Linked DNA regions of Arabidopsis thaliana. The protein of the gene in region 1 interacts with the protein of each later gene in a pairwise test. Each region holds a gene or a part of one and is shown on either strand. Other genes may lie near its edges.

The links.
Region 2: the proteins of SVL4 (region 1) and FAO3 interact in a protein complementation assay, tested with the Arabidopsis thaliana proteins (one large-scale study listed by BioGRID).
Region 3: the proteins of SVL4 (region 1) and GAE5 interact in a protein complementation assay, tested with the Arabidopsis thaliana proteins (one large-scale study listed by BioGRID).

What each region holds. Positions count from the first base shown.
Region 1 is NC_003076.8:23,493,749-23,505,222, reverse strand, and holds SVL4 (SHV3-like 4), read left to right. Parts: upstream 1-7,621; 5' UTR 7,622-7,713; intron 7,714-7,820; 5' UTR 7,821-7,836; coding exon 7,837-7,948; intron 7,949-8,084; coding exon 8,085-8,381; intron 8,382-8,463; coding exon 8,464-8,573; intron 8,574-8,663; coding exon 8,664-9,162; intron 9,163-9,238; coding exon 9,239-9,559; intron 9,560-9,647; coding exon 9,648-9,787; intron 9,788-9,859; coding exon 9,860-10,343; intron 10,344-10,426; coding exon 10,427-10,725; 3' UTR 10,726-10,974; downstream 10,975-11,474. Other genes in the region: RR18 (response regulator 18), read left to right, coding at 1,073-1,202, 1,292-1,441, 1,509-1,880, 2,010-2,086, 2,183-3,295, 3,373-3,438; TIL (temperature-induced lipocalin), read left to right, coding at 4,067-4,441, 4,526-4,711; YKT61 (SNARE-like superfamily protein), read right to left, coding at 5,095-5,145, 5,600-5,686, 5,898-5,963, 6,180-6,284, 6,374-6,463, 6,532-6,605, 6,754-6,946; FIP1[V] (FIP1[V]-like protein), read right to left, coding at 11,223-11,279.
Region 2 is NC_003074.8:8,375,021-8,386,928, forward strand, and holds FAO3 (fatty alcohol oxidase 3), read left to right. Parts: upstream 1-7,651; 5' UTR 7,652-7,839; coding exon 7,840-8,049; intron 8,050-8,310; exon of another isoform or gene 8,311-8,390; coding exon of another isoform or gene 8,391-8,396; coding exon 8,397-8,669; intron 8,670-9,246; coding exon 9,247-11,004; 3' UTR 11,005-11,161; downstream 11,162-11,908. Other genes in the region: AT3G23390 (Zinc-binding ribosomal protein family protein), read left to right, coding at 407-409, 627-806, 985-1,059, 1,145-1,204; FIB4 (Plastid-lipid associated protein PAP / fibrillin family protein), read right to left, coding at 1,616-1,830, 1,921-2,047, 2,536-2,772, 2,930-3,205; AT3G23420 (F-box and associated interaction domains-containing protein), read right to left, coding at 11,253-11,282, 11,326-11,610, 11,762-11,908. UniProt on the Arabidopsis thaliana protein: Long-chain fatty alcohol oxidase involved in the omega-oxidation pathway of lipid degradation.
Region 3 is NC_003075.7:7,284,972-7,295,188, reverse strand, and holds GAE5 (UDP-D-glucuronate 4-epimerase 5), read left to right. Parts: upstream 1-4,068; 5' UTR 4,069-4,340; coding exon 4,341-5,651; 3' UTR 5,652-5,997; downstream 5,998-10,217. Other genes in the region: AT4G12240 (zinc finger (C2H2 type) family protein), read right to left, coding at 6,200-7,294; AT4G12230 (alpha/beta-Hydrolases superfamily protein), read right to left, coding at 7,841-8,221, 8,489-8,629, 8,724-8,831, 8,948-9,056, 9,154-9,296, 9,402-9,500, 9,680-9,805. UniProt on the Arabidopsis thaliana protein: Involved in the synthesis of the negatively charged monosaccharide that forms the backbone of pectic cell wall components.

The DNA.
Region 1 (11,474 bases):
TTTCTCCTTGCTCTCGTTCTTCTAGATAGGAAACTAGGAGACGATTATCTAATTTCTTAATCTTTGAGTCCAATTGGCACTATGCACCACTCCAAAAAATAGTCTTTGATCTGATTTCCACTACCACAGAGACTTATTTCCAGTTTCCTTCCATTTGAAGAAATCGAATGGTAATAATAATCTGAGTATAAGAAGATCACAGAGTTGTCGATTTCTTCAAATGGAAGGAAACTGGAAAATAAGTCTCTGTGGTAGTGGAAATCAGATCAAAGACTATTTTTTGGAGTGGTGCATAGTTCCAAGGGTTTGGTGATGGATAAAGTTAAGACTGTTGGAGACTCATCAGCAACAATCATCTGTGACGCAGTTTTCACATTGGTTGTGATTTCAGATAGAATAATCAAGAAAATGGCAGAGTAATCACAAGTATGACGATTGACTAAGAATGTGGAGTAATAAGAGTCGACGGATTCGAATGCCTGAATGTGATCAGGTCAGTCCATTGCATTTGTCGAATTCTCTTTTTTTTTGGAACTGAGACCATACGCGTTATGTCAAAAATCAGATTTTTTTTGTTTTGTTTTGGTGCATTCACTTAGAAGACTAAAAAGGAAAAACATTTCTATGGAAAATAGGAAATGCATATATATAAGGAAAGCCAGGAAAGGTTGAAACGTTGGGTTTGAACGTTTATTTGCGAGTAAGGAAACAAAATGGGGACATTTACATTCACTTTACGAAAAGTTTGTCTTTTGTGCTCAGATAAGGCAAGATTCAACCAACAAAAGAGAAATTAGAGGAACATGTGACTCTCTCCACGTCCTCATTTATGGAAATATGAGCAGAAACAGAAGGAAATTTCTAATTATTTGGAGAATTAAGGGCCAGATTAACCGCGTAATCACTCTCTCTTTTGGGCCACTCGTCTTTATCTTTTTACATTTGTCTATAGGAGGACTATGGTCTTCTTCTAGTCCCAAACTTGAGGTTTTAAGAATAAAACAGATCAGATTTTAGTCTATGTACTATATTCCTTTGAAGAGAGGAGACTTGCAAACGTATTGCATCAAATATGGAGTTTGGAAGCACTGAAGATGGAAGGCATGACAAGTTTCCTGTAGGAATGAGGGTTCTTGCTGTGGATGACAATCCAACCTGCCTTCGGAAACTCGAAGAGTTGCTGCTTCGTTGCAAGTATCATGGTACTACATATTCTTTGCTTTTGTTTTTTTTTACCTGTCTGCTTCGGAATTGGGGTGCATGGTCAATGATGTTTGATTGATTACGCCAGTGACAAAGACAATGGAGTCGAGGAAAGCTCTGGAAATGCTGAGAGAAAACAGCAACATGTTTGATCTGGTGATAAGCGATGTAGAGATGCCAGACACGGATGGTTTTAAGTTGCTTGAAATTGGTCTTGAAATGGACCTTCCTGTCATCAGTACGTCTCCTACCATTGTTTTTCATATCAACTCTAGCCCTTATTGTAACCTGCTTCATTGTCTCAGTGTTGTCAGCTCATAGCGACTATGACAGCGTTATGAAAGGTATTATACATGGCGCTTGCGATTATCTGGTCAAGCCTGTTGGACTCAAGGAGCTTCAGAATATATGGCATCATGTTGTGAAGAAGAACATTAAATCTTACGCAAAACTGCTCCCACCTTCTGAATCTGATTCCGTCCCAAGCGCCAGCAGGAAACGGAAAGACAAAGTCAATGACAGTGGTGATGAAGATGACAGTGACAGAGAAGAGGATGATGGTGAGGGGAGTGAACAGGATGGTGACGGGTCAGGTACGCGGAAGAAGCCACGTGTTGTTTGGTCTCAGGAGCTTCACCAGAAGTTTGTCAGTGCCGTTCAGCAATTGGGCCTCGACAGTGAGTTTCCCCATAGACCTCTTTAAACCTTTCCTTATGTGTGATGTCCACTCTTGTTTCTCCTATAGAGTTATTTTGATGCTTTCATGTGTGGGATCCTCTTTTCATTTCTCCTTGTGTTCATCACAGAGGCTGTTCCCAAAAAAATACTTGATCTCATGAGTATAGAAGGTCTCACTAGGGAAAACGTAGCCAGTCATTTGCAGGTACTAATTCCCCATTCTCTCTTGCATTTTTCCCCTTCTTTCGCAAATATAATCTTGGATGGTTAGACTTGTTTTATTCTCTGGTTTTGGTTGCAGAAGTACAGACTGTACTTGAAAAAGATAGACGAAGGTCAGCAGCAAAATATGACCCCAGATGCATTTGGAACAAGAGATTCATCTTACTTTCAGATGGCTCAACTTGATGGACTTAGAGATTTTACTGCCGCAAGACAAATTCCAAGCTCAGGACTCTTATCGCGTTCCCATCTCACCAAACTCCAACCCCCTATGTATTCATCGATAAATCTCCAAGGAATGAACTCCTCCAGCTTCATCCAACAGGGGCATCACCAGAACTCAAGCAATTCAGCTAATCCGTTTGGAACATATCACAGTACTCTGTCACCAAGAATCCAGAACGTGAATCTGTTTCAGCGAACTTCATCTCCACTAGAACCCCTCCAGTTTCCTAGAAGCAAGTCATACATTGGAGATTTTAAAGGCTTAGGGGACAGAGCTATTGGCGGTAGCTTCCTAGATACTTGTATGCCATTTGGTAGCTCTAGCACCTCTTTACCAAGTGCTTCCACCAATCCTCTAATGTTGCAAGCAAACTATACACAACCCCTGCATATAGCCTCAGATGGAATTCAGCCTTGCATCGAGGGAACTCCGTCCAACTCTGCCTCCCCAAACATCAGTTTCCAAGGCTTATCTAGATTTCCTGGTCATAGCTGGCAAGGGAATTTGAACACAACCAGATTCCCACCGAGTTCCTTACCACTAAATCTTGCTTTCTTGCCGGATCAAGTGACATGTGCAGGGAACAATCTGGGAGATTGTACTTCTTTGGTTTCTGCAGAGAATCCTGGTGGAGAGATGCAGTGTGATCCTCAATTACTTGGCGGCTTCATGCAGAACGTGAATCCGTTAGGCGGACAGAAATGGGAGCAACAGAACTGCACCATGCTGAACAATCCATTCGGTAACATTGAGTATCCTCTACCCGCAGATAACATGGTTTTCAGAGACAACAATTCAACCAGAAGCAAAGGCTTGGATGAGTCACTGATGAACCCAATAGACAACAGTCAAGAGTATGTTGGAAAAGCTACTACAATGCTGGATCCAGAGATGAAGTCGGGAAAGCCAGAGAATGACAACCAGCATGATGTATTCGATGACATAATGAATGAGATGATGAAACAGGTAACGCGGTTGTTTTCTTGATTGGATTAAAAGCTTTTGTAGTTTGTAGAAAATGAAAGTGAATGTGTTTGTTGCAGGAGGAGAATAACGGAATGGTGCCAGTGGCTACTAGATTTGGCTTTGATTCATTTCCTCCACCTTAGCTAGTCATCTCTTTCTCTACCAGTTGCATTAAGTTTCTCCACTTGAGACCATTTTCATGTGATTTTTTTAAATTTCTTCCCACATTGTTTCCTCCGACTGTCAATAGATCATAGTACACCAACCTGTTTCATACTCTCTTTTATGAATTGGAATTGAAAGCGAGCCTGTTACAAAAATTTATTTTATAAAGTTTCTGAATAAGTGTTGTTATTCAAAACCAATATACGAATAGTAATGGGCCTAATTGAGATCGTTGGTTTACATATGGAGCTATTTTGAAGTGTCAACAAGAAGAGATATTTAGATGTCGATAGGATAATTTGGTGGGGCCTAGAAACGGCTAGAGGAAGTCAAATCAAAATGTGACTGTATGGCCCATTGTATTGTATCCTTCTTCCCACAGAACAAGGAAGACATTTGTGTCCTCCACCTTTATTCACATTTGTAACTGCTAGACGCTACTAGAACCCTTGCCCTACACGCTTTCCACGTGGCATCCTCTCGTCCCAGCGAAATCTCCTTGATATTATTTTTTTATTTCCTTATAAAGAACAGAATCTCTTCTTATCCTTTTACCTCAAAGAAAACATCGAAATCTTAGAGAAGAAGAAAAGAAAAAGAAGAGAAATGACAGAGAAGAAAGAGATGGAAGTGGTGAAAGGGCTCAACGTGGAGAGATACATGGGCCGTTGGTACGAGATTGCTTCTTTCCCATCAAGGTTTCAGCCAAAGAACGGCGTCGACACTCGCGCCACCTACACCCTTAACCCCGACGGTACCATACACGTCTTGAACGAAACGTGGAGCAACGGGAAGAGGGGTTTTATCGAAGGCAGCGCCTATAAGGCCGATCCTAAAAGCGACGAAGCCAAGCTCAAAGTCAAGTTCTATGTCCCTCCTTTCCTCCCAATCATTCCCGTCACCGGAGACTACTGGGTGCTCTACATCGATCCTGACTACCAGCACGCTCTCATTGGCCAGCCTTCCAGGAGTTATCTCTGGGTTGGTACTCTTTTTTTTTTCTCTTTAACGAATAATCGAAATTGATCCCAAAAATGATTGACTCTGTATATGTGGGTGGTGTAGATATTGAGCAGGACGGCGCAAATGGAGGAAGAGACGTATAAGCAGCTGGTGGAGAAGGCAGTGGAGGAAGGTTATGACATCAGCAAGCTTCACAAGACTCCTCAGAGTGACACACCACCTGAGTCCAACACTGCCCCTGAAGACTCCAAGGGCGTTTGGTGGTTCAAATCTCTCTTCGGCAAATAGATTACACGGCACACAAAGACTTTGTTTCACCTCTTTGATCCTTTTGTCTGTGTAATATACTACCCCCTTTGTCTACTCTAGTTATCTTCCATCATCTGCTTTTGTCTATTTACGACATCTTCATCTAGTTATGCAAAGTCGTCTCTTTTACCATAAGGAAGCGCACACAAATTCAATCAGATCAAATCTGGGAAAGACAATTCAAATCTTGCAGAAGTTGACATTATGTATTTGGATAAACACACCACACGACTCGAGACTTATGGAATCAAAATAATGCATGCAAACTACAGACGGAATTATATGTATAGATAAGACGATAGAAAAAACAGTCTCCCCCCAGCAAAAGTTTGGTTGACTATATACCCAGCAGGACTTCCAGCTCACAGAATAGTACAGCATGAATTTGTTTTCTTCGCTTGCTTGTAAAACATCTGTTCCAACCAATACAACCAAATCAGATTTTCATGTTGGAAGTAAACATGGTTTACCTAATCTAAATAACGAAGAATATCTTGAGATTCCAGAGGATATGACTAATACATATGTTCCTCCCCATGGTCAGATGATATAGCAAAAAACACTATGATTCTTCGTAGCAAACCTAATAATTCCAAAATCCAACTGTATAGTTCAAACTGCACTCAAATGTCTGCAGGCTGAAGCAGAAAGCTTTTTCAAAGAAGGTATTCTAAATCCACATTCTTCCTCTATTTATCTACCCCAACAATAACATGCAATAGTTCCTCTATCAATCAACAACACTTATAAGCCTGCTAAATCAACAACCCTTTCTAACGTGTTCACCAACTATGCTCAGAGATCGAGACAGGGAAAAAAGGAAACTAAATCTATAAGAATTTCTAGAATGTGACTTTAGAATGTTACCTGTGATGCCATGCTCAAATCTGAGCTCTTCTCCACTAGGCTGTCCAGCTTCTCACCACGGGCTAGAACACTATCAATGGTTTTATGCTACAATACAGAACAAAAAATCAGTCTTACGGAGACAGGGACATCCATCATAACTACCAAGACTTTCTTCTTGTTTTGGTGTTTTTCAGAAGAAAGTAAACTCACCGACAGAACAGCATTTATGTATAATTGGCAAGTATACTGAAACTTAGAAAAGGAAGTACCGCTTATGTATAAGGGTCTACAAGAAAGGACCGGAGACAGCACTTACAAGGATAATCTTTGTCTCATCCAACTCCCTCTGGATTTTCAACAGCTTATCAGCCTCTGCTGGGTCCTGAAGATTACAAATACGGGACAATCCCAAAATCAATTTAAGATCAAATCACTCAAAATCCAACATGGTCATAAAACAATGGGGGCTACTAAAATTAATTCATGAAGAATGAATCATTCGATTGGATTCTAATGTCCACCTAACTGAGCTTAATATAACTACAGTTTTAACAAAATTCACAGTAAAAGAGCGAATACAGTTGCACAAGTGAAGAACCTGAAATTTGTTTAAAGCTTCGGTTAAGTATGGCCAAGGCTGATTGGAGTCTTCTTTTGCAGACCTCCATGACTCACCAAAACTCTTCTGGTACTCATCTAGGACCTGAGACAAAATTAAATGTCAAGCAACCCAAATTACAGGAAAACTTACGAATGATGCATTGAGAACCACTTTCAACATAATGATATTACCTGATTGAGAAGAGAGAAAGCACTTCGAACAGGGTAATGATCGTCCATGAAACCCACCGCGCAAAGGCCATTTCTATTGTAAGCGTGAACCTTGTACTCTAAACCAAAAACAAAATAAAAACACGAACCCTAATTATCCCAAATTCGAGGACTAGAACAATAAGATAGAATCGCAAGAAATTAAAGCCGGGGCATAGTCCAGGAAGATCTAGAATCAGAAACGGTGCACATCCTAAATCATAAAAGTTTCAAAATCGAAAAGCCGATCCGAATTTAGAAATCGAATAAAAATCAAAGAGGAAAGGAGATTGCATTAGATCCGGGAGAAAGAAGATTTGAAAACAATCGATCTAGAGAGGTAGAAGAAGAAGGAGAAGAACCTTCGTGTTGAACAGACTGGCGTTGGGAAGGAGGGGTTCGGCTAGCGACAGTGCGACCGACAAAGACGACGAACTCCTTGACGCTAGATCGCTGGAAATAACCGAAGTGAGAGACGTCCGAAGCGTTGGAGAGGATGACGGGATCAGAAGCTTCGGGAGCGCACTTGAGAACGAGCAAGGCGGTGATCTTCATAGCTGCGGTGGATCCAAGGTTGCGTGAGAAGGAAGCGAGGAGGAGGAAGAGAAGAGGCTTTGGACCTGGATTCCTTACTCGGAGATGCTAAAGGCAAAACAAGTTTTGAGGTGTCGAACCAAACGCAGACGCCTTCTCATTAACATTGAATAATGAATATATACCCTCTTTTTCTTATTCGCTATGTTGAAGTAAAAATTAAAAACCTTTGGTTCAATTCAATTTTATGTGGGCAGTCTCGGTTCGGTTTAGCATATATTGATGCAGAATTGGACCGGAATCAAAGATTTTTCCATCACATAGAATTGGATTTTTAAGAATTTTAAGTCTAGGCAAAAACTGAAACCAAAGAATATTTTAATTTTTGCCAATCGAGTTTTCTTATTAACGGAATATTGGTTTGGTTTAGATCGGACAACTTGGTTTGGTCCGAATGCCAAACTCTAATATTGTCATTTTAACTACATACATGTATGACAAATGAATATAGTACAAAGTCCAAAACTGAGGGGTGTTACACCCATTTGTGCAAAGAAGATGTAAGAAAGCATCAAAAAAAGAAAAAGCGGTTAAGAAGGGAATGGTGGAGAAGAAGAGATAAAAATAGAAAGGAGTAAATGGCCATAAATGGAGGATATGAGAGCAAGTTACTTTTTTTTACCATTAATTAACCTTGTTTGACCCATCTCCTCTTTCTCTTCTTTTTCCTTTCCTCTAACTAAACGAGGAAAACAAGCAGGAGAGGGGATTCATGTTCTTTTCTCGCTGTAAGATCTCTCTTTCACAATTTTCTTAAATGTGACAATTCTGTTTTTGTTACATGTATCCTGACTTTGCTTTTCCATTGGGGTACGTACGTTACACACAAATGCAGGATCAATCAGATAGAGATGCTGAGGTTTTTCATTCTTTTCTCCCTTTTCTTACACTCTTCTGTTGCGGCACCCAAGACTCCTGCTGCTGCCGCAGCTGTTCCTGCCAAGAAATGGCTTACCCTTAACGGTAAGCATCCTTTTACAGAGTATGCCCATATTGCATACTACCATGTTTTTTTTTTTGTTGTTGTTTAATGTTAAGACTTAAGATACCATGTTGTTTGTTTGTTTCTAAGAATCCGTACCTGTCTTTTGTCTTCCAGGACAAGAGCCTGCCGTTGTGGCCAGAGGGGGCTTCTCGGGTCTTTTCCCTGAGTCAAGCATCTCTGCAAACGACTTGGCTATTGGCACCAGCTCGCCTGGCTTCACAATGTTGTGCAACCTTCAGATGACTAAGGACGGTGTGGGCCTTTGCTTGTCAGATATCAGACTTGACAATGCAACCACCATCTCCTCGGTCTTCCCCAAAGCCCAGAAGACCTACAAGGTCAACGGTCAGGACCTCAAGGGCTGGTTTGTCATTGATTACGATGCCGACACCATATTCAACAAAGTCACTCGTATGTCTTCTTCTCTTTCATTTCCTCCCTTCAATGCTCACCACCACCACCACACATTTTCATGTTTTGTATTATTGAGCAGTGGTCCAGAACATCTTCTCTCGGCCTAGCATCTTCGACGGCCAAATGTCGGTTTCTGCAGTGGAGGATGTCCTTGGAACCAAGCCTCCCAAGTTCTGGTTGAGCGTTCAGGTATGTTTTCTTCTCTTTGAGAACATGATTAACCAACATATGGAGCTTTTTTGTTGATTCATCAAAACAACAAACAATGCAAATGTGCAGTACGATGCCTTCTACATGGAACACAAGCTGAGCCCAGCCGAGTACCTGAGAAGCTTGCGATTCCGCGGCATTAATGTCATCTCATCTCCAGAGATTGGTTTCTTGAAGAGCATCGGGATGGACGCGGGCAGGGCCAAGACAAAGCTCATATTTGAGTTCAAAGACCCCGAGGCAGTTGAGCCCACCACCAACAAGAAGTACAGCGAGATTCAGCAGAACCTCGCAGCCATCAAGGCCTTTGCTTCAGGCGTTCTTGTGCCCAAAGACTACATTTGGCCCATTGACTCAGCTAAGTACCTTAAGCCCGCCACCACTTTTGTGGCTGATGCTCACAAAGCCGGTCTAGAGGTCTATGCTTCAGGGTTTGCCAACGACTTGCGCACCAGCTTTAACTACAGCTATGATCCCTCTGCTGAGTATCTCCAGTTTGTGGACAATGGCCAGTTCTCTGTTGATGGTGTCATCACCGATTTCCCGCCAACAGCATCACAATCAATCAGTGAGATGACTTGCTATATATGTTTCCTCAGATAGCTGATTATTAAGAAGAAGCTAAAGCGTCTGTTTTCTTGCAGCTTGCTTTTCTCACCAAAACGGCAATCTCCCCAAAGCAGGGCATGCATTGGTTATAACTCACAATGGAGCAAGCGGAGACTATCCAGGCTGCACTGATCTGGCTTACCAGAAAGCAATCGACGATGGAGCAGACATAATTGACTGCTCTGTTCAGATGTCCAAAGACGGAATCGCTTTCTGCCATGATGCTGCAGACCTCTCAGCAAGTACCACCGCCAGGACTACTTTCATGTCCCGAGCCACCAGCGTTCCTGAGATCCAGCCTACCAACGGAATCTTCTCTTTTGATCTTACATGGGCCGAGATCCAGTCTGTGAAGCGTAAGAAACTGATTTCTTTTCTATAGATTTCTTAAACTAATCTTATTCTCAACTAAGTCACTGAGCATTGGGATATCTTTGTCTTCAGCACAAATAGAAAACCCCTTCACTGCCACGGGCTTCCAGAGAAACCCCGCAAACAAGAACGCCGGGAAGTTCACGACTCTTGCGGACTTCCTTGAGCTCGGCAAAGCAAAGGCAGTCACCGGAGTTTTAATCAACATTCAGGCAAGCCATTTAACTTCCAAATGCTCCTTGACTAACACAAGGAAGCTCCACTAACACTGTTTTTGTTGACAGAATGCTGCTTATTTAGCCTCGAAGAAAGGCTTAGGAGTCGTAGACGTAGTCAAGTCTGCTCTTACAAATTCCACACTCGACAAGCAATCAACCCAGAAGGTTTTGATTCAGTCGGATGACAGTTCAGTTCTATCTAGTTTCGAGGCTGTCCCTCCTTACACAAGAGTCTTGAGTATCGACAAGGAGATCGGAGATGCTCCTAAGACATCCATCGAAGAAATCAAGAAGCATGCAGATGCTGTCAATCTCTTGAGAACTTCCCTCATCACCGTCTCCCAAAGCTTTGCCACGGGGAAAACTAATGTGGTAGAGGAAATGCACAAAGCGAATATCTCTGTATACGTCTCGGTGCTAAGAAATGAGTACATCGCCATAGCGTTCGACTACTTCTCTGATCCTACGATAGAGCTTGCAACATTCATTGCAGGGAGAGGCGTTGATGGAGTCATCACGGAGTTCCCTGCCACCGCTACCAGATACCTAAGTAAGTTTAAACTTCTACAAAAAAACAAAAAACAAAAACATTACCAAGATAAGGCTGATCAATTATATTTGATGCAAATGCAGGGAGTCCATGTTCAGATTTGAACAAAGACCAGCCCTATGCCATCTTACCTGCAGATGCTGGAGCTCTACTCACCGTGGCAGACAAGGAAGCACAACTACCAGCTATTCCCCCAAACCCACCTCTTGATGCCAAAGACGTGATTGATCCGCCTCTGCCTCCAGTTGCAAAGTTGGCCTCCAATGGAACTGAAGGTGGTCCGCCACAAACTCCTCCTCGTTCAGGCACCGTTGCCATTGCTGCTAATCTCAGCCTTTCCTTGCTGGCAATGATGGCTTTGGGACTCCTTTATACAGCCTAAAGAGATTGATCACACCATATAACCTCATATAGGTTGTAACATGTTTGCCCTCAGCGTTTTCAAACTGACACAACTTGAGTTATCTATGTTTTACTCATGTTAACCAAAATATGCATCAAACAGTGATTTGTTGTTATAGATCAAAAGCTCTACAGAAACTTTCTTTGTTGTCATAGGAATGTTTTTTTCGGTAAAGATTTTGAGTCTTGATAATCTTTCATATTTTATTTACGATCCTTCGTTACCACAGTCTCTACTTTCATAGTTGTTGCTTTCTGATAACTCACATTGTTAACACTAATGATCAAGACCAAAGGCCGAGTACAAATTTAAAATAGTAACAAAATTACTACAGTATATAATACAGTGCTGTCAAGTATTTTTAAAATATTCTCGCTCTCTCCGGAGGCGCTAAGTATAAGAACAAAACTAAAAGACCAATAATCTTTGACAAAAGTTACATCAACTACTACAAGAGTATTCTCTCAGAGTTATCCTTATGCGTATTCCCTCCCTATTCTTACACAACTTCGCTCATCCCACACATACTCTCCCTAAACACCTAAATAATCTCCATTGAGCTTGATCTTTCATCGCATTACTGCTACAACTGCTCCGTGGGATGGGAGAATCTCATGTCATCCGTTTAAGCATCGTAAGCTACATTGAGAATCAAACTTTCCTCAACCCAGCCAAAGAGGGCCACAGTTCATCGCTTTTTATTTCAACTCCAGTTTATGACTCTCAGC
Region 2 (11,908 bases), on another chromosome or scaffold:
TGGGCTTCGATTGTTTGTTGCGTTTACATGTTATAATAGGTTTTTATTTCTTGGTTCAAACGAAACCAAAACTTAAAAGTAAATCATTTTTTTCTACTGAATTTTGTTTTTGATGCTTTTGATTTCATTTGATCACTTCAACTTTAGTTCCAGGGTCTTGACGATTTAATTCAAAAAGCAAAAAAATCAATAGGAAACAAAAACTCATAAAGGACTTTGACATACAGATGGGCCCATTGTTTATGACCAATCCTTATACTATATATGGGCCTTATTAGTTAAACCTAAGGCCCAAAGTCAGATTAGGGTTTTCAGAAAGTGTACTATAAATTCTTCTTCTTTAAACAACTTCGTCTAGTGGAACGACGACGGCACAAAAGCTTCACCGGAGATCAGAGACGCGAAAATGGTAAATTGTTTCTTCTCTTTCGATGTGATTTTGGAATTTGTAAAGTTCGTTGACTTTGAAGAACAACAATACATGGTTGATTGATTTATTGTATTGTTTTTCAGATCTATCATAAAAGTTTTCAATCTAAATGATGTTTGTATTTTGATTAACCTTAAAAGTCTCTTGATTTTGTATGTGTGTGAGTGATTCATTTTTGATTTTATGAATTTTGAAGGTGAACATTCCAAAGACAAAGAACACTTACTGTAAGAACAAGGAATGCAAAAAGCATACTTTGCACAAGGTTACCCAATACAAGAAGGGTAAAGACAGTCTTGCTGCTCAAGGAAAGCGTCGTTATGACCGTAAACAATCTGGTTATGGTGGTCAGACTAAGCCTGTCTTCCACAAAAAGGTAACATTGATTATCATGCATTGATTGTTTTTTCAGTTTGAATTAGGTCTAGTTAGTTGAAATGAGGTAGTTTTAAGGAACCATTTATAGTAGAATTTTGGAAGTGAGCTGTGAGGAAACAGACATTCCAATAGTCTCAGTTTTGGACTGAGATACATCTTGTGAATCTTGTTAACAGGCTAAGACCACGAAGAAGATTGTTTTGAGGCTTCAGTGTCAAAGCTGCAAGCACTTTTCGCAGCGTCCTATCAAGGTGCATAGAACATAGATCAGTTCATTATACCGGATTTGTAACTTGGTAATTTGCTTACATTGTGTTGGTTTGTTGTTTATTTCAGAGGTGCAAGCATTTCGAGATCGGTGGTGACAAGAAGGGAAAGGGAACATCTCTGTTTTAAGTTGGTTTCATCTTATTTTCTGCGATTTTTGTACTTGCTGGATTTGGAATCCATTTGTTTTAGCTCTCTCGTATAAGATTGTCTCATCTTTGCTTGTTAACTCTATATTTTGAATCATCAAGATATGGTTTTGCTGTTAATCATTGACCTTCGATATTTTTTTGCCAATCCGTTCTCTCTACCAACCTAAGAAAAAATCACTAATATCTCACATTAGAGGGTGCAAAATTTGGAAGGTCTATATCATTGTCCAATTTTCTGAGTCATACAAATTCTTTCATATGATTCATTGAACAAGACACTCATTTACTTATAAAGCGCATTTATATGTTCACATGATTTGTACAAAACTCATGAGACTGCATCAAGCAGAAAGTATTTATTTATCTTTACATGTCAAAGCTTTGAGAATTAAGCAATGACGAATACCCTAAGTTCACCTCTGTCCCCGCGAGTTATGCGCATGGTATCATCAACATAGGTAACTTCGAAATCCCCAGTTCCAGGGTTTGACGATGGTCTGAAACTGTCGGGAAGCCTCGGGATATCAAACGGAGGAATCTGCGACAAGTTTCCCGATGTCTTCACAGTTGTTTTCTCAAATGTTATCTTGATCTTGCAAGTGCCTGTTTTCCCCATAAATGTCAAAGATACAGATAAGTTATTTTGCTCTTACACAATTCGATAAACTTAATGAGAGAAAGGGAAATGCAAACCTAAGAGTTCAAACTTGTGTGCCAATGTCGCAGTGGCTTCTAATGGCGGAAATGGCCAAGGGGCTCCTAATTCCACCTCTGCTATGTTATCAAAATCTTTGCTAAACACATCAATCCGTTGAAACACCTGTTTTAATGATTCAGAAACAAGAGATAATATTAAAGAAGTTTGCTTTCTACCGATTCAGGTATGGTTCTTTGCCAAATTTAAACCAAAGAAAGCTAGATTCTAAGCTCATCACCATTCAAACTCAACCAAGAATAAAGATGATTGACTAAGACCGTACACATAAACTTGGCAATATAGAAAAAAATGATTAAGGAGTAGATGACATTGCTAGATTCTAAGCTCCTCACCATTCAAGCTCAACAAAGACTACCAATGATAGACCAGACCGTACACATAAACTTGACAATATAGAAAAAAGTTTGCTTTCGAGTATAAGATGACATTACCAAATTGTAACCTCAGAAAGCTAGATTCTTAGCTCAGCCCCATTCAAACTCAAGCAAGACTATTGATGATAGACTAGACCATGCACATAAACTCCTCAACAACTTACCCGAAAAACCGAATCTTGACGGGTAAAAACAGAGCAATGATTCAAGAATTACCTGGCCAAGAGTAACAGGGATCAAACGTCCAGTAGGTAGACCAGGACGGCTACCACCTAAAGACCGAGAAGAGAACGCACTACTATACAACAGCCTCCATTTCCCTTGAAGCTTATCAAGATCATCGGTTAAATCAACCGGTCCCCCAGCAGTTTCAAGTTCTTTAGCAGCCACTTCAGCTCTTTCTAAATCATCAACACTCGCCACAAGTCCTCTGTTTAATCCCGAAACTACACTCTGCAATTTCTCACAACACAACACATCACAAATCAAATCTGAAAAATCTTCCCAAAATTCACTCTATAATCGAATCTTAACAGTAATATAAACCCTAATTCCAAAGAAACGAAACCAATTTCTTATAATTTCACCGATTGGTTTGAATCAGACTCACAAGTAATTTGAGTTTGAGTAATGCAATTTGCTTGTCGTCTCCTCCTGATCCAGATGATGATGGTGGTGGGTCACTTTCTCCGCCAATGGATACTTCAACGAGAGACGAATTAGCAGCGAGGTTTCTCTTCTCCGGTACAGTGAAACCCAAACGAGACGATTTTGGAGTAGTTAAGGGAGAAAAGGAGTATCTGATGGATGGTGGAGGAGAACGGTGGTCGGAAAGAAGAGCTGGTGGTGAAGGTAGTAGTGACGAGAAAGTAGAAGAAGTCGCCATTGTTGAGAAGGAAAAAAAAACGAAGAGAGTGAGATAATTTGTAGAGAAGAAGAAGAAGAAGAAGACTTTAATTATTATGTGATTTGAGAAGCACCACGGGTTATTAGCGCGTATACGTGTGTGCGTAAACGAAATTGCATATTACTTTCTGAGTAAAATGATGTCGTTTTGTGCCACAAAATTTTAATTTGCTTTGGTTGTATTATTATGGACCATATGCAGTACTTTGATTTTAATCTATGTAGATAATACTAGATTAAGACCCACATATATAAAATTAAATATTGATTTTATTGATGTAAAACATATAAATTTCGACCATAGACATTGCCCAATTTTTTTTCTCCTTTTTCCATTTAAGTATGGCCCAATAAAGACCCACATCGTATGTTTTGTCACTCGGAGGCAGCATGATCCAATACTTATATACAGGTGTGTTTTTCTCTTTTAGTCATATGACATTCATGCCTTCCATTTATTTGGATATCATTTTAGAACAAATTTTTAGGCTTTTAGTAGTATATAAAGTTTGAAAATAATGTAACTTCATATCCAATATATATTTGTCTTTTGAATTTCTTTTGCTTAGTTGGTATCCATTCTAGTTGTCTATATTGAGTTAAGTTTTTTTGTTTTTTTCTGAAAGAAAAAATTAAACATTCATCTTGGAGATTACGTGAACATTTGCCGTGTTCTCTTTATTTGGGGAAATCTCCCAGTTTTATGGAGACATTTCATATTTAATCAATAAGGTTTGGTTGCTATGTTCTTCTTGTCTTAAGAAATCGTCCAAATTTTGTGGCATTTAATGGTTGGAACTGCAAAATTGTGTGGCTAGAACTGCAATTTATGATAAGCTTTTAGCAGTTTGGTTCGAAATATATGTTTGGTGAACAAAAGATATTTACAGTATGAGAATAGTAGCTGATATTAAAGTTAAGAAGAGAACTTGGTACTGGAGCTATAATGGTCAAGCTAAGACGATGTAGATATAATTACAATTTGGAAGAAGAACAAGTTGAAATATAAGAATATAGAATTGCGAATTGCGAATAATGAAAAGATAACTACTGCAAGAGATTAAGAACAGATTATGGATAACCACTTGTGTTTATATTAGGCTTGCATTAAAAGCTTTGATATGCTTAGTTGACGTTTTTGTGCTTAGTTCTGCCGTTTTCTGTTTGTGTCCATGAATCCACGTGTTAAACCATCTGCTGTACAAGGTTTTTTAGTCTTTCAATTTCCCAATTTGTGTTATTTGCAACATGTAAATGCTAATGACAAGCTACATGTTAATGCTGGAAAAGAAAAGTAGACGTTAGTTCGAATGGATCTAGATGATTCTATACGTACTATTCGATATTCGATCTTCTATTTTTTTCACTATACTCGAAGACATTGGTGCAAATTAAATATTCTAACTAGATGTTGGTTGTTAATTTTTCTAATTATTTAGTATTTGTTGCAGTGTCCCACGATTACATGAAGTTATATAGTAATTTAATAATAAATATGATAATAAAGATATTGAAAACCCCTAGTTTATCACTTTATTGGTTAACCAAAAATTCATTAATGATTATACATAAAGAGGTCTTTGGTTCGAGTCTCAGATACTACAATTTATTATCAGATTTGCAGATTTATGGAGACAAGTGTATAAGAAATCTTCAACGATATATAATTATAGCCATCATTGAAATTCTCCATCAAAAGCATAAAAAAAACGAAAGAAATGCCGTCTCTCGTGAATCTAATAAAGGCGAAATGAACTTTTTGTAGCAAAATTGTTTATATAACAAAAACATGATAATAAAGATAACTTACGCATAAAATATCGGTAGTTTTTAGTATCCGCGTATAGTTTACTTAACTAAAGGAAATATGGTATTATGACTTTTTAACACAAGATTTTAACTGGGCAGAAAGTAACATGAACGGAAAAGGTCTACAAAGTGGGGTTATCTTGAAAATGCCGTATATAACCTGTTATCGCTATTTTACTTTACATTATCGCTTAATTAATTAATGACAACTTGTGACATCTTTAATTGCGTCCAACAACATTTTTTTTGACTTTTAAACAATAAGCTATAATGACATTTTATTTTTAGAAGCTATACTTACACAGTGACACATAATAATTCAACTAAACAACCCACTGTACCCGATTGAATATTTTACAAGCCATGAAGGTTTTAAGAAGATTTTGTTGCTGATGCCTCGGCTAGCTTGAAAATGTTTTATGGATTTTACGCAAACACGTCATTTTGACAGTGTTTTAGAGATTTGTTTTTGTCTACAACTAATATATAATTAAGCTTTGGAGCCATTGAAAATATTTGGTCGATAAATAATAATCACAAAGTGTACCTCAATCATAGAAATGGAATGCTATGGTCCATATAACTTGAAATATTGTAGTCATAAAATTACGATATCACCTAACGGAAAATAGTCTTAACATTTGAACATAACATGTGTTCAGAGAAGTTATAAATAAGTGTTCAGAGAAGTGATTTTTTATTTCTAAGTTATAAATAAGTGTGAAAAAGTAACTTATGACTAAAAAATATTTTGTGAACTTTTTAATATTATTATTTTTGCAAAACAACGCACTATATATGTACCTCGTACACTCTAATTAGCTCATCCACCACGGTAAAATTTATTTATTATTTTGCATTTTTTATTTGGTTAAGCTGAAACATATCATTATCACCAAGCAATTATATATGTACCGATAACCCATGCTGAGGAAATTTTCTAACCAAACCTTTGGGATCAGAATATATATTAGTAAATAATCATACTTTAACTTAGATTACACTAAAAACTAGTTATCGTTTTAGAGTTTTTTTTGTCTGACGAGATCTCGGATGCTTCGATTACACCTGACTTGTTAGATGGGATGCATGACCACATTTTGGCTAACATGGCGTGCAAACGATGACGTGGAGGCAACTGATTGGCTCCACTGATTCCCACAAATTTGTTGCAAAATCAAAAGTAGGGCCAGACTAATTATATTATTTTTTTGTGGATGTCTATAATATGAAATTTGAATCAATACGTAATTTATCGATTCTTTGTCTAATCGATGTCAACTAAATTTAACAAATTATCTGGAAGTCACTCAACATTTTCCTTGATAATGCTAGTTTCTTCGAATCTTAAATGAGGCAACGCATTGTCCATTGAAATTTTAAGCATATAGTGTATATATGTATTTATTTTTCTAGCAAATTCAAAACGGCCTGGGATCGTTTGGTTTGTAATCAATATATGGGTTTTTTTTGGTCAACAATCAATAATTAGTATTTTTGAGAATTCATGAAATACTGGATGAGTAAATGAGATAATTTTTATGGATGATCACTAGCACATGGTTGCTAACCAGTGAAGCACCTAAAAAATCACTGCAAAAAAGTTTGTAATCAATTTCGTTGCAGCTAAGCAACATTTATGACTAATTTGAGTAAATATTAATTGACGATCCCATGAATTTCACCTAATTGACGAGTCCCTAGATTTGTTTTAGAGTAAATTTTACAACTTCATATACTTTACATTATAATTAACAAACTAAAAAACTCGTAAACCAAATAAGACTTTGTCTAATGGTCCAAGCATGACCTCTCCAAAGATATAATATGTTTTGATATATACGTGATAACCGATCAGATGTTGTATATACATATTAATGTGTATTAATTTCTTCATATAATATTTACAAATTTTTGTGAGAAGATATCAAGTACACGTATATCGAATAAGAAAAGCTAGATTGTGTAAAACGTTACGGGGCTTGTGCATTAACTCACAAGTTGGCTATCACAAGTTTCAAATTGTGGTGTTTAGAGCATCGCAGTTGTCAAACAAAAAAAAAAAAAAAAAAAGAAAGAGTATCACACGTGATTGTTTTCCATAACTATGAGAACTTTTCTGACTATTTTCTTCTTTTGTGCCTTTGTTATGTTTCTTCAATCATTACTTAATTATTAATTACTAATCGATTTTCGTTGCCTGTAGTTTTCACATGTTGTAATCTAGAAAACTGAAAAAGACTTTCCCCATAATAGTCTCTGCTAACTACATACTAGTCCCTATATTTTGCAATTTTAAGTGTTTTTAACCACTATCTTAGAGACTCTAAACATGAGGACCCTAAAAAATAACCATCATCTTAAATTGTACGTAAGAAATATATTCAATCTACATCAGATGATACCAATAAAATTCGGCATATAAGTAGAATTTGAAAGAAACAACAACGTGGGTAGATATGCACCATTTACAACAACAAAAAAGAAAAATCAATTTTGGTCCAACTTTTTCATATACATTTAAATTGTCAATTATCATCATAATTAGTAATACGACAAACTGTCGTATAAACTAGAAAAATACATACATCTACTATCTAAAACGACAGATAAAAATACGTAATCATCAAAAAGAGTTAAAAACAAGTTTTGGGGTTCTCTTAGCAATTTTGTTTTATATGTCTATTTTTATGTAACGCGACAGCTGTAACGTTGTGTCTATATATATACTAACAGAGTTTGTGCTTCGAAATCTTAAGAACTTTCCCAGTTTTGTTTTTTAATCATATCAAAGCAAACTGTGTGATGGATAAGTACAAAGTCGCCGGAAAATTTGGTCTCCCGGACATCACGGTGGCAGAGATGGAATCTTTAGCTAGCTTTTGTGAAGCTGTCTTGCCTTCAGTGCAGCCACCGCCGGAAGAGCTTTCCGGTGAAGGTGATAACCATCGGAACAAAGAGGCTCTCCGGTCATTTTACTCAACTTCTGGGTCTAAAACTCCTGTCCTTCGCCAGGTTCACACACTTTTTCTTTATATTCATCAAATGATCTGTTTTTTTAACAAAATGCTAAAGTTTTGACACTTTCAAACAAAAAAACACAAATCAAGAACGTGTGATATTTGAAGATTTGTTTTGATTTGTTCGATTAGTTAAAAGGATTCGTATTGATCGAGTTCCAATAAAATCCTTGTGGTTCTCTTTTGACTTCTATAGACCTTTTAAATGACAAAAATATCTAGCTCTTTTTGTTTTTTTAACGTGAATATTATTAGTCTAGGTTTCGGTCTAAAATTAATTGCGGTTATTAAAAAGACCTTAAGGTTTTGAGTAAAAAGTGAAAGATTTGTTAATGGATGCAGAGCATTGAGCTGGTCACGAAACGAGGGACAATAGAAGCTTATATTGCTACTAGGCTTATATTGTTCTTGCTTGCTACTCGGCTTGGGACGCTTCTCATTTGTGGAACCGAGTGTTTGGTCTCAAGATGGCCTTTTGTCGAGAAATTTAGTGAGCTCTCGTTGGAGAAGAGAGAAAGAGTACTTCAGAAACAATTCAAGAATTGGATTCTGACTCCAATTAGAGCTGCTTTTGTCTACATCAAAGTTGCATTCCTCTTCTGTTTCTTCTCCCGGGTATGTCTCAAATTCTCTCTGTTTTCTCCAAACCTTATCTCAACCACATAGATTATGTTGTTCTGTCCGGATAAAACAGTCTAGTACAAATCCAAATAATCGAAAACAGAATCGCATGGTTTAAATTCATTTACTTTCTATATAATCCAAAAATTGATTACAAATAGAGCCAAAAAAAACTAGAAAACGTATCAGTTTTATTGTTTTCTAAATTAATGATGATCTCTAAGGAAAAAATCATCCAAATTCATATATACTAAAATTAGAAAATCTTAAACCTGAAACCGTACGTAACGTATTCATATGAGATTTGTTTATAACTAAAATTTACTATTTTACTATACATAAACAATTTGATCCCATTATTAAAAACTTTGATCTTAAATGAGTACCAAGCGATTTAACTAGATCATTTTCTGATTTGGTTACAATAAACCGATCCAAAATTTTGAGAATCGTGAACTAAACCAAAATCCGGATTCAGAGCCTATATTATATATGTTAACTCTGTCGTAAAAACAGAGCTACTTATAGAAAATGTTCAAGAATTTATGGATATGTCGTTTCTTTTGTGTAGGTGAATCCAAATGGCGAAAACCCGGCATGGGAAGCCATAGGGTATCGTGTTAACCCCGATGAGAACAAACCTTCTGAAACTCATAACGAAAGACCACTTGAGAAAGGGATAGTGGAGACGATGGAAGAAACAGAGCAGACTCTTCTTGAATCACTTGCTCATAAAGGCCTAGAAGCGGTTCTTGACACGGAGCATGATGCGATCAGAATAAAATGTGATGTTGTGGTCGTCGGGTCTGGTTCAGGAGGAGGCGTAGCAGCTTCTGTTCTAGCGAAATCTGGTTTAAAAGTGGTTGTTCTTGAAAAAGGAAGCTACTTTACGCCTTCTGAACATCGTCCTTTCGAAGGTCCTGGCTTGGATAAACTCTACGAGAATGGAGGGATTCTCCCGAGTGTTGATGGGAGTTTTATGGTGTTGGCTGGAGCAACTGTAGGTGGTGGATCTGCTGTGAACTGGTCTGCGTGTATCAAAACCCCGAAGTCGGTTCTTCAAGAATGGTCAGAGGATCAAAATATACCTCTTTTCGGTACTAAAGAATATCTAACGGCTATGGAAGTTGTGTGGAAGAGGATGGGTGTCACGGAGAAATGTGAACTGGAGAGTTTTCAGAATCAGATTCTGAGAAAAGGTTGCGAAAATCTCGGGTTCAATGTTGAAAACGTGCCAAGAAACTCCTCGGAGAGTCATTACTGTGGATCTTGCGGGTATGGATGTAGACAAGGAGACAAGAAAGGAAGTGACCGGACTTGGCTTGTCGATGCGGTGGGGCACGGTGCCGTGATTCTTACTGGATGTAAAGCGGAGAGATTCATACTCGAAAAGAACGGTAGTAACAAAGGAGGCAAGCAAATGAAATGTTTGGGAGTGATGGCTAAATCTTTAAACGGAAACATAGCAAAGATGTTAAAGATTGAAGCTAAAGTAACGGTTTCAGCAGGGGGTGCTCTTTTAACACCTCCGTTGATGATATCTAGCGGGTTGAGAAACCGAAACATCGGTAAAAACCTTCACTTACACCCTGTTTTAATGGCGTGGGGTTACTTCCCGGACAAGGAATCTTCTAACATCAGTTTCAAGGGAAATTCATATGAAGGCGGGATCATAACATCAGTGAGCAAAGTGTTATCAGAAGATTCTGAAGTCAGAGCAATCATAGAGACACCGCAACTAGGACCAGGTTCGTTCTCCGTTTTAACTCCTTGGACCTCTGGGCTTGACATGAAGAAAAGAATGGCTAGATACTCAAGAACCGCGAGTCTCATAACCATAGTTAGAGACCGCGGGTCAGGAGAAGTTAAAACCGAAGGCAGAATAAACTACACCGTGGACAAAACCGACAGAGATAATCTCAAAGCTGGGCTTAGAGAGTCGCTAAGGATACTAATAGCAGCTGGAGCAGAGGAAGTGGGAACTCACAGAAGCGACGGGCAGAGACTAATATGCAAAGGTGTCAATGAGAATTCGATCCAAGAGTTTTTAGACTCGGTGAGTACAGAGGAAGGAGCAAAGGGAATGACTGAGAAATGGAACGTTTATAGCTCAGCTCATCAGATGGGAAGCTGTAGAATTGGAGAAAATGAAAAAGAAGGTGCAATAGATTTGAATGGAGAGAGTTGGGAAGCAGAGAAGTTGTTTGTGTGCGATGCAAGTGCGTTGCCTAGTGCTGTTGGTGTTAACCCTATGATCACAGTCATGTCTACGGCTTATTGTATCTCCACAAGAATCGCTAAGTCCATGACCACTGGTTTATCTCATTGAACTAAAATAACGTATACTTTCTATTCATCCTAATCAAATTTATGTGTAACCAACATGATAATTCATAGTTAAAGACTCTTCTATTGATCATGTCTACTAATAAAATCCATGTTTTGGAAACGTTATATTTATTCATCTAATTAGAGTGTTATAAAATATTGGACTAATCAAGTTGCAGTGAACTTGGAACATAAGAGCACACAAGTGGTCGGAGATTTTGGTTTGGAGATTCTCCAAGATCCACTTCTTCAAGGATCCATCCTCTCCAACGATGTAAGCTGCATTGCACATCAACTACTTCTTTTTGCCTTTATCAAAAACCACTGCAACTTTCTTCTCCTCATCAATGAAGAAACTTGCATCACTAAACGAAAACATAGAGTAACGGCCGGTGAGTTCTCTCATATCCACTGATAAGAAGAACTTGCTGCTCCATGACACCGTGTTGGGCTCAATCTTAGTTGTAACCCAGATCTCCATCTGTAATGTATCCATACGCTGAAATAACACCGCAAGCTGCTCATCTCTAACATTAGATAATAACAGAGAACTCTTGAAGATACCACTCAAAGGGCGGCGAAGGCAAACCGCGGCCCAAATGTCTCCCTTGTGAAATCAAAACAGAGTAAGAAACTATGGTCTCCTTGTCTTGGGATTTCTGAATATGCCTCTTCAGCAAGCCAATATGTATTTCCTTTGAGAGAGGCACCAGACACAAAACGGTTATAGTAACCTATGTTCCAGTCTCGAGATTGACCCTCCATGAGTCAGAGTTAAAGTCGTAGATTTTGAACTCAGCAGAAGTGGAGGAGACATAATCAAACATCATACCAAAACTCAAGATTTTGTGGGATTTGGTACTGCTATTGTATCCGAGAGCATACGAATATGCATCTAATCTCTG
Region 3 (10,217 bases), on another chromosome or scaffold:
TATCGAGAAGACAAATTTGCAAAATTAAATAAATAAAATAAGGAACCTAACATATTTGAGAAACGAAGTTGCAAAGATCCACTCCATCAACTAAGCGATCATGAGTACCTGAAAAATTAAATCTAGAGTTATTGGCATCCCACCAAAATCCTATAATATCGTCTGTCTTGTAATTGTTTCGTTGGAGAATCATACTCCATCCATGAAATTGAAAATCTCCATTTGCATCTTCTTGTACAGTAAGAGTTGTTACAATTTTAGTTTCAAAATAAAAAAAGTCCAAATAACCTATGAAACGATTCTTAGGCAGTAAAGGTAACATTTTGGTTTCTACTATCTCTTTTGAAAACGTTATCATATTACTCAAACCCACATCTGATGGTGTTAACGTTATCAAGATGTTGAAAGAGGTGTCTGCATTAAACGGCCTATCTGAATACAGCTCGGTGTCTACCATGAGTTAAAACACAAAGATATATAAAAATATAGGTTTTAAAGTGTTCTTTACTTCTTAGAGATCTAGGTAAAATTTGTGTTAATAAAATTGGTCATGTGCTAAGCATACATATATAATGATAATAATTTGTGTCGAGTGGGTAACTGTAAGACCTTGTCACTATAAGAAGATAAGATTTTATTTAATTATTATCATTGGATTCACTATTAATTGAACTTCATTTCTTGTTGTTCTTTTTTCTTAGACAGAAATTTGAACTTATTAATTTCTCTTAATCAAAGTAACACTAAAGCAATGTTATAGGTTCTTAATTTACAAGAAATTTTGATGACTTTAGTAATATCATATAAAATAAATAAATAAAATATTTTTAATTATTGTTAGAGACTTTTCTATAATCTTGTTAATTAGTTTTTCACAATCTTGTAAAGTTTCTCAAACAATCTTTCTATTTTGATGATACTTTTTATGACTTCATGTTGCGAAGAAAAGTGTAGAAAGTTATAAACAATAACATAATAACTTAATTCATTAACAAACATAGATTCTTTTGTTTGATTGAATAACACAAAACTTTTTATGACTTTATAAAAATATGAATCCAATTACTCCAAATTTACAAAGATTTTAGATCATTATTTACAAATCTTAAAATTAATAACACCAAACTTTATAAGAATCTTGATTGAACAACAACAGATTCTATGTAATATTTTATTAATTCATTAAAACTCTATTTAAATCAGAAAACCTATAACACCCCCTAGTTTTGTCTAATTTTCATAATAATATGACATATGTAGATTTATAGTTAACTGAATTCTAACAATTGTTAAAGTACACCAAATATTTGACATACATTGCTAGTAAAATACAAATAGCTCGAGGAAATGTACGAGCCCACGACCCTTCCAATTATCAAAAGCATTAAATTACAAATAAAGTGAACCTTCAAACTAACTAAGAGAAATATCCAAAAATAATTGCTAGTGTGTTTGATTCTAGACAGAAAATGGAATTTGCTAAAATGTGCTTTGAGAAACTTTATGGTGTAGACACTTCAGAAGCCAAGGAGATGTATAATTCTGTTTATGATGTCATGAAGGCTATGCTGAAGGAGTACACTGTTATTTTCAAGGGACCAAACACACAATCATCTCAGTCTAATCCGCCTTCATCTACTGCTGCCAGAGATATTTTTGCATGTGAGTTAGCTGAAGATAGTAATGTTGAGTTTGAAAGGATGGACAGGTCTTATAAAGAGATGGTTAATGAAATTAGGGTTACTGATCCTAAAGATGAGTTAGATATATATCTGAAGGCAGAGGTAGAAAATCCTAAGACTCTTCCTGGAATGGAGTGGGATGTCTTGTCTTGGTGGAGACTCAATAGTCAGAAGTATCCAGTTTTATCAGAAATTGCAAGAGATGTACTTGCAATGCAAGTGTCATATGTCGCATCTGAAAGTGCTTTTAGCACCAGTGGTCGTCTTTTGGAGCCAAGTAGAAGCTGCCTTACTCATTATATGGTAGAGACTTTGGTTTGCCTTGAGCAGTGGTTGAAAAGTGAAATCAAGCTGAGTGAAAACACTTTTCTAACAAATACACAACTTCTTGCTGATATAGAATTACTTGATAAGCTTGAGAAAGGTAACTTTATCTATGTAGTTTACTAGTTTTAGTTTTAGATGTTGTTTGAAAACTCTCTTATGTTCTAACACAACTTGGGTGTTGATTGAATCTTTTTCAGAGTTTCAAACTGAAGTGAATTTGGACTAAAAGACTAATCAAGGAAACGACTACAAGGTAACTTCATCACTCCATTTTGTTTTCTTTTACTTCTGAACTTGGTTTATAGCTCAATGTTAATATACTAGACTTATGAATCAACGATCATTTCGTATTTGACTTTTACTTGGTTTATGGTTTAATGTTTATTATGGTTTTTTATTTTTCAACTGAGCTTATTTGGTTTTGATGTAACAGGAACAAGTCATGGGGAATCTATCATGTTTGGATGTTGCTTTGGATTTGAACTTCTTTCTTTACTTTGAATGCTTTGGATTCGATTCTAAACGATGTTTTTATGTCTTGCTTTGGATTTGAACTTCTTTCTTCTATTTGAATGGTTTTATTTGGATGTTTTGAATCTTGCTTTTTGGGTTGAACGTATGAAACTTTTATTATGTCATGCTTTATTGATTTTACTTTAAGTTTTTTTTATTACAAATTTACAGGTTTTATGGTATATGTGGTTAGTATCAAGTATGTTCGGGTATATTATAGTAGTTATAAACTAGTATCGAATAATATTCGGTTACTTTTTGGATTTTTCAATGGAAGTACCAATACCTACCCAAACCCAAAATTTACCGGATCGAACCCGAACCGAAGTTTTCAAATACCCGAACGGGGTCTAAAATTATAGTTCCGAAAAATCCGAACCCGAAAAAATCGATCCGAACCCGAACCGAATACCCAAACGCCCAGGACTAGGAGAAAAATACTCCTATCAACCAAATGAGTGTATATCAGACGATGTGTACGGACTAGCTTGATAATTAGTACAAGCGTCAAACAACAATTTTTTGAAATAAATTTAGAATTTTGTGCAATAAAAGCAAATTTCTTTGACCCAGCCGGTTATGCTCTAGTAAAATTAGTTAATGATCGCTAGAAGGACAAAGTCAATCTTGATTTTGATAATATCCTAATCTAACCAGAGTAATTACAAATTAACTGTATATGGCATAACCGATATTTTGGTAGTAATTGATTTGGCTCCTTATTACCATAAAGAAATAGAATTTTATTATAAAGAGATCAATTTTCTGATAGGTTAACTATACTAAGCTGATTAATATCAGTGTTGCGTGATTATATGGTATATTACGATTTGTATATCTTATTAAATGTGGATTATTTCTTAAAGCTTTTACTATGACACTAGGAATATATAACATTAATTTTCGTTTGATGTCGAAAATAATGGTTAGGTGAGATATAACAATCATAAACTAAATTAAAATAATATTTAACTTATCACGAATATTGTTCACATTGCTAACATACTAGCATGTATCCACATAGTATTGTTCACATTATAAGTAGAAAATTCTTATTAAAAAATAAAAAAATCACTACATTTTTTAATGCAATTTTATTGTTTACCTCCTAAAAAACAGATCAATTTCATAAAATAAAAAATAACTCGTAATAAAATTCCTCAAAAATAACCGATTTTGTATTATTTACTTTTTTGTCAATCGATATAAATTAGAACTAAAAAAAGTTAATCCCGAAAGATATTATTTATATATATGACATGATACGATCGATTTTATATCTATTTTTATCATTATTACCCCCGTTATTTCACATTTCTTATAACCTTTTGTTATTGTATAATTTTTCTTTTTATTATCAATCGGAACAAAGAAATACAGAAGTTAAAAGCAAAAGTAGTAAATATTATTAAACAATTATTGCGTGTAAAAATAGTGTATATGTGATCGTGTACAAAAGTACATGCATAACATGATCAATATAGAATGCAATACAACTATACAAATGTCAACAATCTACAAACACGTTTTAACTTTGAAAAGCAATCTAAAATTCATGAATCTAAATATACTCTCTGGCAGCTTTCTTATTACCATATCTTAAAGATTGAACCAAATAAATAAATTTACATCATTAACCAAATTAAACCATCCACATTTAATTTAATTACAACAAGTAAGTAAAAGATCGTCTCTTTCTTCTTTCCCGGAAAATCCTCTCATTTTTGACTTGCTCAATTTTGCTTCCTTAAGACCCAAAAATCCAAACCTAACCCTAATCGACATTTTCTCCGATTTCTAAATCCTCCTCCGGTGAAAATGTCTCACCTTGATGATCTTCCTTCTACTCCCGGAAAGTACAAAACCGATAAAGTTCCACCGTACGGGATTCTCCACCACCACCGTTACCTCCGTCTCTCAAAACTCACCCTTTGGGCTTCTCTCTTCCTCGCTCTCTTCCTCTTCTACCTCGTTTTATCTCCTCCTCCGTCACCATCTCGCCGGAATCTCAACGATTCTTCCTCCATTTCCGCCGCGAAATACGGCGGCTCTCACTGGGAGAAACAAGTCCGTAAATCCGCTCGTCCTAGGTCTCACGGCGGTTTAACGGTATTAGTCACCGGAGCTTCCGGATTCGTCGGTACTCACGTCTCGATCGCGTTACGAAGACGCGGCGATGGTGTTCTAGGTCTCGACAATTTCAATCGATACTACGATCCAAAGCTTAAACGAGCAAGACAAGGCCTTTTAGAAAGATCAGGTGTTTTCGTAGTCGAAGGCGATATAAACGACGCCGTTTTACTCAGAAAGCTCTTTGATGTTGTCCTCTTCACACATGTTATGCATCTCGCTGCTCAAGCTGGTGTGCGTTACGCAATGCAAAACCCTGGCTCATATGTTAACAGTAACATTGCTGGGTTTGTGAATCTATTAGAAGTATCGAAATCAGCGAATCCGCAACCTGCTATAGTCTGGGCTTCCTCTAGCTCTGTTTATGGTCTGAATTCGAAAGTACCCTTTTCGGAGAAAGACCGTACCGATCAACCAGCGAGTTTGTACGCAGCTACGAAGAAAGCAGGTGAAGGAATTGCGCATACTTACAATCACATCTACGGATTATCGTTAACGGGTTTGCGGTTTTTCACTGTCTATGGACCTTGGGGTAGACCAGATATGGCGTATTTCTTCTTTACTAAAGATATTCTTAAAGGGAAGACGATTACTGTGTTTGAATCTCCTGATAAAGGTAGTGTTGCTAGGGACTTCACTTACATTGATGATATTGTAAAAGGTTGTTTAGGTGCGTTAGATACTGCTGAGAAGAGTACTGGTAGTGGTGGTAAGAAGAAAGGTCCTGCTATGTTTAGGATTTATAATTTGGGGAATACTTCTCCTGTTCCTGTTACTAAGCTTGTGACTATATTAGAGAAGCTTTTGAAGATGAAAGCTAAGAAAAAGATCATGCCTCTACCGAGGAATGGGGATGTTGAGTTTACTCATGCCAATATCACGTTAGCGCAAGCAGAGCTCGGTTATAAACCTGCGGTTGATCTTGAGACGGGTTTGAAAAAGTTTGTGAAATGGTATATGGGTTTTTACACTGGCTCGAAGAAGAAGAGTTCTTGGTGAGCTCTGTCTCTCTGCTTAAGTCATGGTCTCTGTTTCCCCTTGTTGAGCTTGGAGTTCGCTCTAGGTTAAGCTTTTGAAACCGAGCACTTGCATTGCCAGGAAAAATCACTTACGTATCTGCATTGTTTCTGTGTTGCTAGATTTTGCTTCATTTATTTGTTAGTAGATTTTGAGCAATGTACAGCTTCATCACTTAGATGTTTCAATTGTCGAAACTCAATTGTCTTTTCCATCATGTCGGAGGAATAAAGTAGCTTGGATTTTGATGCATATACTCTGTAGTAATTCAATCTATTGTCACTTGTTTCTTGTGAATTCAAACATATATTTATTCTTATTCTGACCAATTTTTACATAGCTCTAATCACTTGACTAACGATGATGGTTTGGAAGAACAAATCAAATCACTGCATAATCTTATAACAAGAAACAATGAATGTTCTCTAGCCTGAAGTTTATGTAATATGCCAATAGATTCACAAGATTGTTCTCTAGCCTATACCATGTTATCTTCCTCTGCGCAATCAACCACGACATATGCGATGATGTTATCGACAAGTTCTTGAAGATCCAACACCATCTTCAGTATCGATCTTCCACCAGTCAACACCATCACCAATCTCCACAGGTTCCACCTCTGTTCCATTCTCAATCTCATCATCATAATCAAACTCGTAATCCCAAACACCGCAAGAACCACCTCTCTCTTTCTCCAAAGCAGGATCATAAGTCCACTCCAACTTCTTCAACACATCTCTATCCTTCCACTTCCCCACAACTTTCTCAACTTCCTTCTTCGCCTTCCCCATCGTCACTTCCTTCCACGAATACGCAACATCCGCTACTCGCTTCAGCGCACCTTCGTTCGAATCTCCAATCACAACCGTCCTCAAACACCTCTCCTTAGCTTCCCACAAAATCCCCGCAAAATCAGAATCATCAGACACTAAAACAACACACTCCACTTCTCTCTTATCCATCACTTCAACCAAATGTTCCTTCAACGCCTTATCAGCAGCATCTGGCTTATCACTAACCATCTTCACCCAAAAACCAGCTCGTTTCAGCTCATCAGCTAAACCGTAACCTTCCTTCGGAGTCAAAACATTCCTCGCCGCTCTTTTATACTTCTCAATCTTCATCGAATACTTAGCCACAAGTCTCACTCTTCGATGTCCTTTCGAAGATTCAATCTGTCTCATACGTTTCTGATTCTCTGTCTCATGAATCTGCTTGAAATGATTAATTAGCTTCTCGTTAGTGTAGAATCTCCGGTCACAAACACCGCAGAAGTAAGGCTCCGGTGGTTTAACTAAACCTTTGTTCTCTAATTTGTTTAGCAATTTCCTATCTTTCCTCTGTTCTCGAACTTCTAAAGGAACGTAGCTAAAGGCGTGACGATTCGCATACGCCATCATTAGCTTCACGGTTCCGAAAGACGACGCGGCGGTTCGGAGCTTGACGGCGGCGTCGTAAGGCGGGAAAGAGGCTGGTGGTTTGTTGTCTAGATCCCACCAAACCCCTACTCGGATTTTGGGTTTAGGGTTTATCGAGCTAGAGCTAAAGCTAAAACCTTTGATTGAATTGAGAGATGTGGTTTGGGTTTTAGGTCTCCAACTTTTTAGGACAAATCTTGAAAACATCGCCGGGATCTTTAAAATCGACGGAGAAGATGGGGGCTTCAAAAAACCCGGTTTACATTACATACCCGACCCGGATCCGATTAGAGTTCGGCGATTCTCATGTAAGTTCAATCTGGAGCAAAGAAGAAGACGAATTGAAATACAAAATATAACACCTATAACCCTGAACTTTGTAAATGTTACAATTTTCTTCCTTAACTTTATTAGGGAACAAAACACACCACTGTTCATAGAAAATTATCAAATTTCTACTGCATTAGGTTATTACTGTTATTGTTTTGAATACAGTAAAAGATAAAAACAAATAAATAATGAGCGACTAAATTTTAAAAGAGCAAAATGTGTAAATAATAGAAAGCACATTGGTTTAATCCCAAAACCCAACCAAAGTTTTCTTCCAAAAGTGTAATAACTTGAAACATACAGAGAACTCTTGCTTTGTCTTACAAACTTATACAAAAAGTCAAGAGAAACCAAAACAGATCAAAGAAACCCAAAAGTAAAAAGATTTAAACAACAAAAGAGGTAATAAATAAATAAAGAACACTAAACCAATTGTCTGGAGATAAAACCACCACCGTGAACCAAAACCAATGTACAGTAACACAATGTGAAAACCACACAAGACTGATAAACTTCACCAGCGAGTTGAACTAATATGAGGTTGTTCAATGATGAACTCAGTAACTGAATGGTGTCTGTGGGTAAAGGCGGATCGTTGGAGCTTCCGGAACTTTCTGGAAATGTCGGTGATTGATCTGAAGATGAGCTTCCAGAGTCTTGAGGCATATTGTTGTTACGGTCGTCCTTCTCCTCATCACTCTTCTTCTTGCTCTGGCTGCTACCGTCTGTGCCATCTGCGCCGCCTTTTGGAATGCTTTTAACCACTTCGGGTCGTGGTTCTACTCCTACCCGCCTTAAGTGTAGCTGAAAACATAAGAGTGAGATTCATCATAAGAATATAATGTTTTGATGCAGTAACATGATGTTCCTTTACCAAGCAATAAAACCGGTTTGATTGGAAAAAAAAATCCCTTCAACGGTATGAAATCTAAAAAATAGGTAGAGAAGTTTCAAGTTTCTTTAAAAGTTCATAATTTCTTGAAAAGAGCCTTAGGAGTATATAAATTCGGCTGTCGAAACTGAGTATATGTATACTTCAAATTTGGCTTTAGATACTGAGTAGATATGTACCTGTAGATGCAAATTGACTTCGTCGGGCCGTGATAGGAATGGGAAATCTCCTCCACTCTTTAAGTAAGCTCTCCTTGCTTCAGGATACCTCTCTGTTAGTTCATCTTTAAGATGTTGTGGTATTGCGCAGTAATCATTTGTCTGATTTGGAAGACATAACAGCATTGTTAGACAACGATAAAATTACTTGCATTGATAATACGAAAAGTCCCGTATATAGCTAATCGAAACCTACATCCATTATAGTAACTGAAGAATCAGAGAGTAGTAGAGATCCCACGGAAGCAGCATCCACAGTTAAAGTTAACCGGGAAGCCAAATCATCTTTCGACAATGTCTCCACCTAAATCAGAGTAAACCAAAGAAACCGAGCTGGTAAGTTTATCTAAAATTCCTTGTCCACATGTTATTCAGATCCGTTCAAGAAAATATCATAGATGAAATAATCAGGATAGCAACCTGAGAAACAGCAAAGTCGACAGAGTCAGCTATAAAGGGTTCATGAGGTCCGTCACGAATTCCTGTTAAGACGTATCGTTTAAGCAAAAAAGAAGGGGTCCAACTGACACTGCACAGAGCATCACGAAAAGCGTTGAGAGTCAGTACAAATACTTAGGCACAAACAATAAAAATAAAGAAGGAATAATCGTATAAGAGAGACATACAAAGGAGCCCATGGCATTGCAGTAGCAAAAGTACGAGTATCCAAATATGTATTTGATAGAACTAATGATTTAACCCGCCTTGGACGGTGATGAGCAAAGAGTTGTGCTAAGAAGCCTCCAAGGGAAGTACCGTAGAGATGCACCTATTAAGAATGGTCAAGTACAATCACTTACAATGCCATATATTTCCGCACCAATAAAAAAATTTAGGAACTTAGATGGTGATTTGTAACTTAAAGAGATCTTACGTGATGAACATCAATGGTGTCCAAGAACTTCTCAAATGCTTGAATCCACTCATGATAATTCCAAACCCGTGGAATATCAACTGAGATTACCCGATAACCCTGGAATTGCAGATTTAACAACATAAGTTCAACATTTTTGGAGATATCTAATCAGTCCCCAAGGATCACATCAACACATAAGCATCTAAGTTACCATATCCTAACAAATGTTTAAAGCTACCTGTGATTAAGAAAAGATTGTTTGCAGATAACTGTTGAAAGACTAGAACTTGACAAACCTTCATAGAGAGTGCCATAATCTGTTTATAGTAAACATCTGCAGTTCCTGCAATTCCAGGAATACATATGAGCGGAGGAACAGTCTTTGGACCAAAGTCATAGTAACGCCATTGCTTTGTCCCAATCTGCAGTTAGCATGCACATAAAGCTAGATATTTATAAGATTGTTTATGCTCTGAGCAAATGACATTCCAAGAAAAAACAAAAAAAATGAAATCTTTCATTCCGAAGCTTGAAACAGTGGACATACATGTACAAATGCTTAACAAATCACAGTTTTCCAAACTCTAAGCAACACAACCCGAACAAACATTACATCTATAGAGCCATTCAATAGTTGCTTGGGATTAGTAGAGCTAAGAACTAAATATGCGAACATAAACAAAGACAAATCACTAAGTGTGTCACAGGCTACTCATAGATCAAATCAAAAGCAACACTAAAAGAATCTACAGAAGTTAAAAAGATCAAAAATGGAGAATACCCATCACTAAACTAAAGACTACCAAGTTCTTGCTTTTAGACAAGAACCCAAAA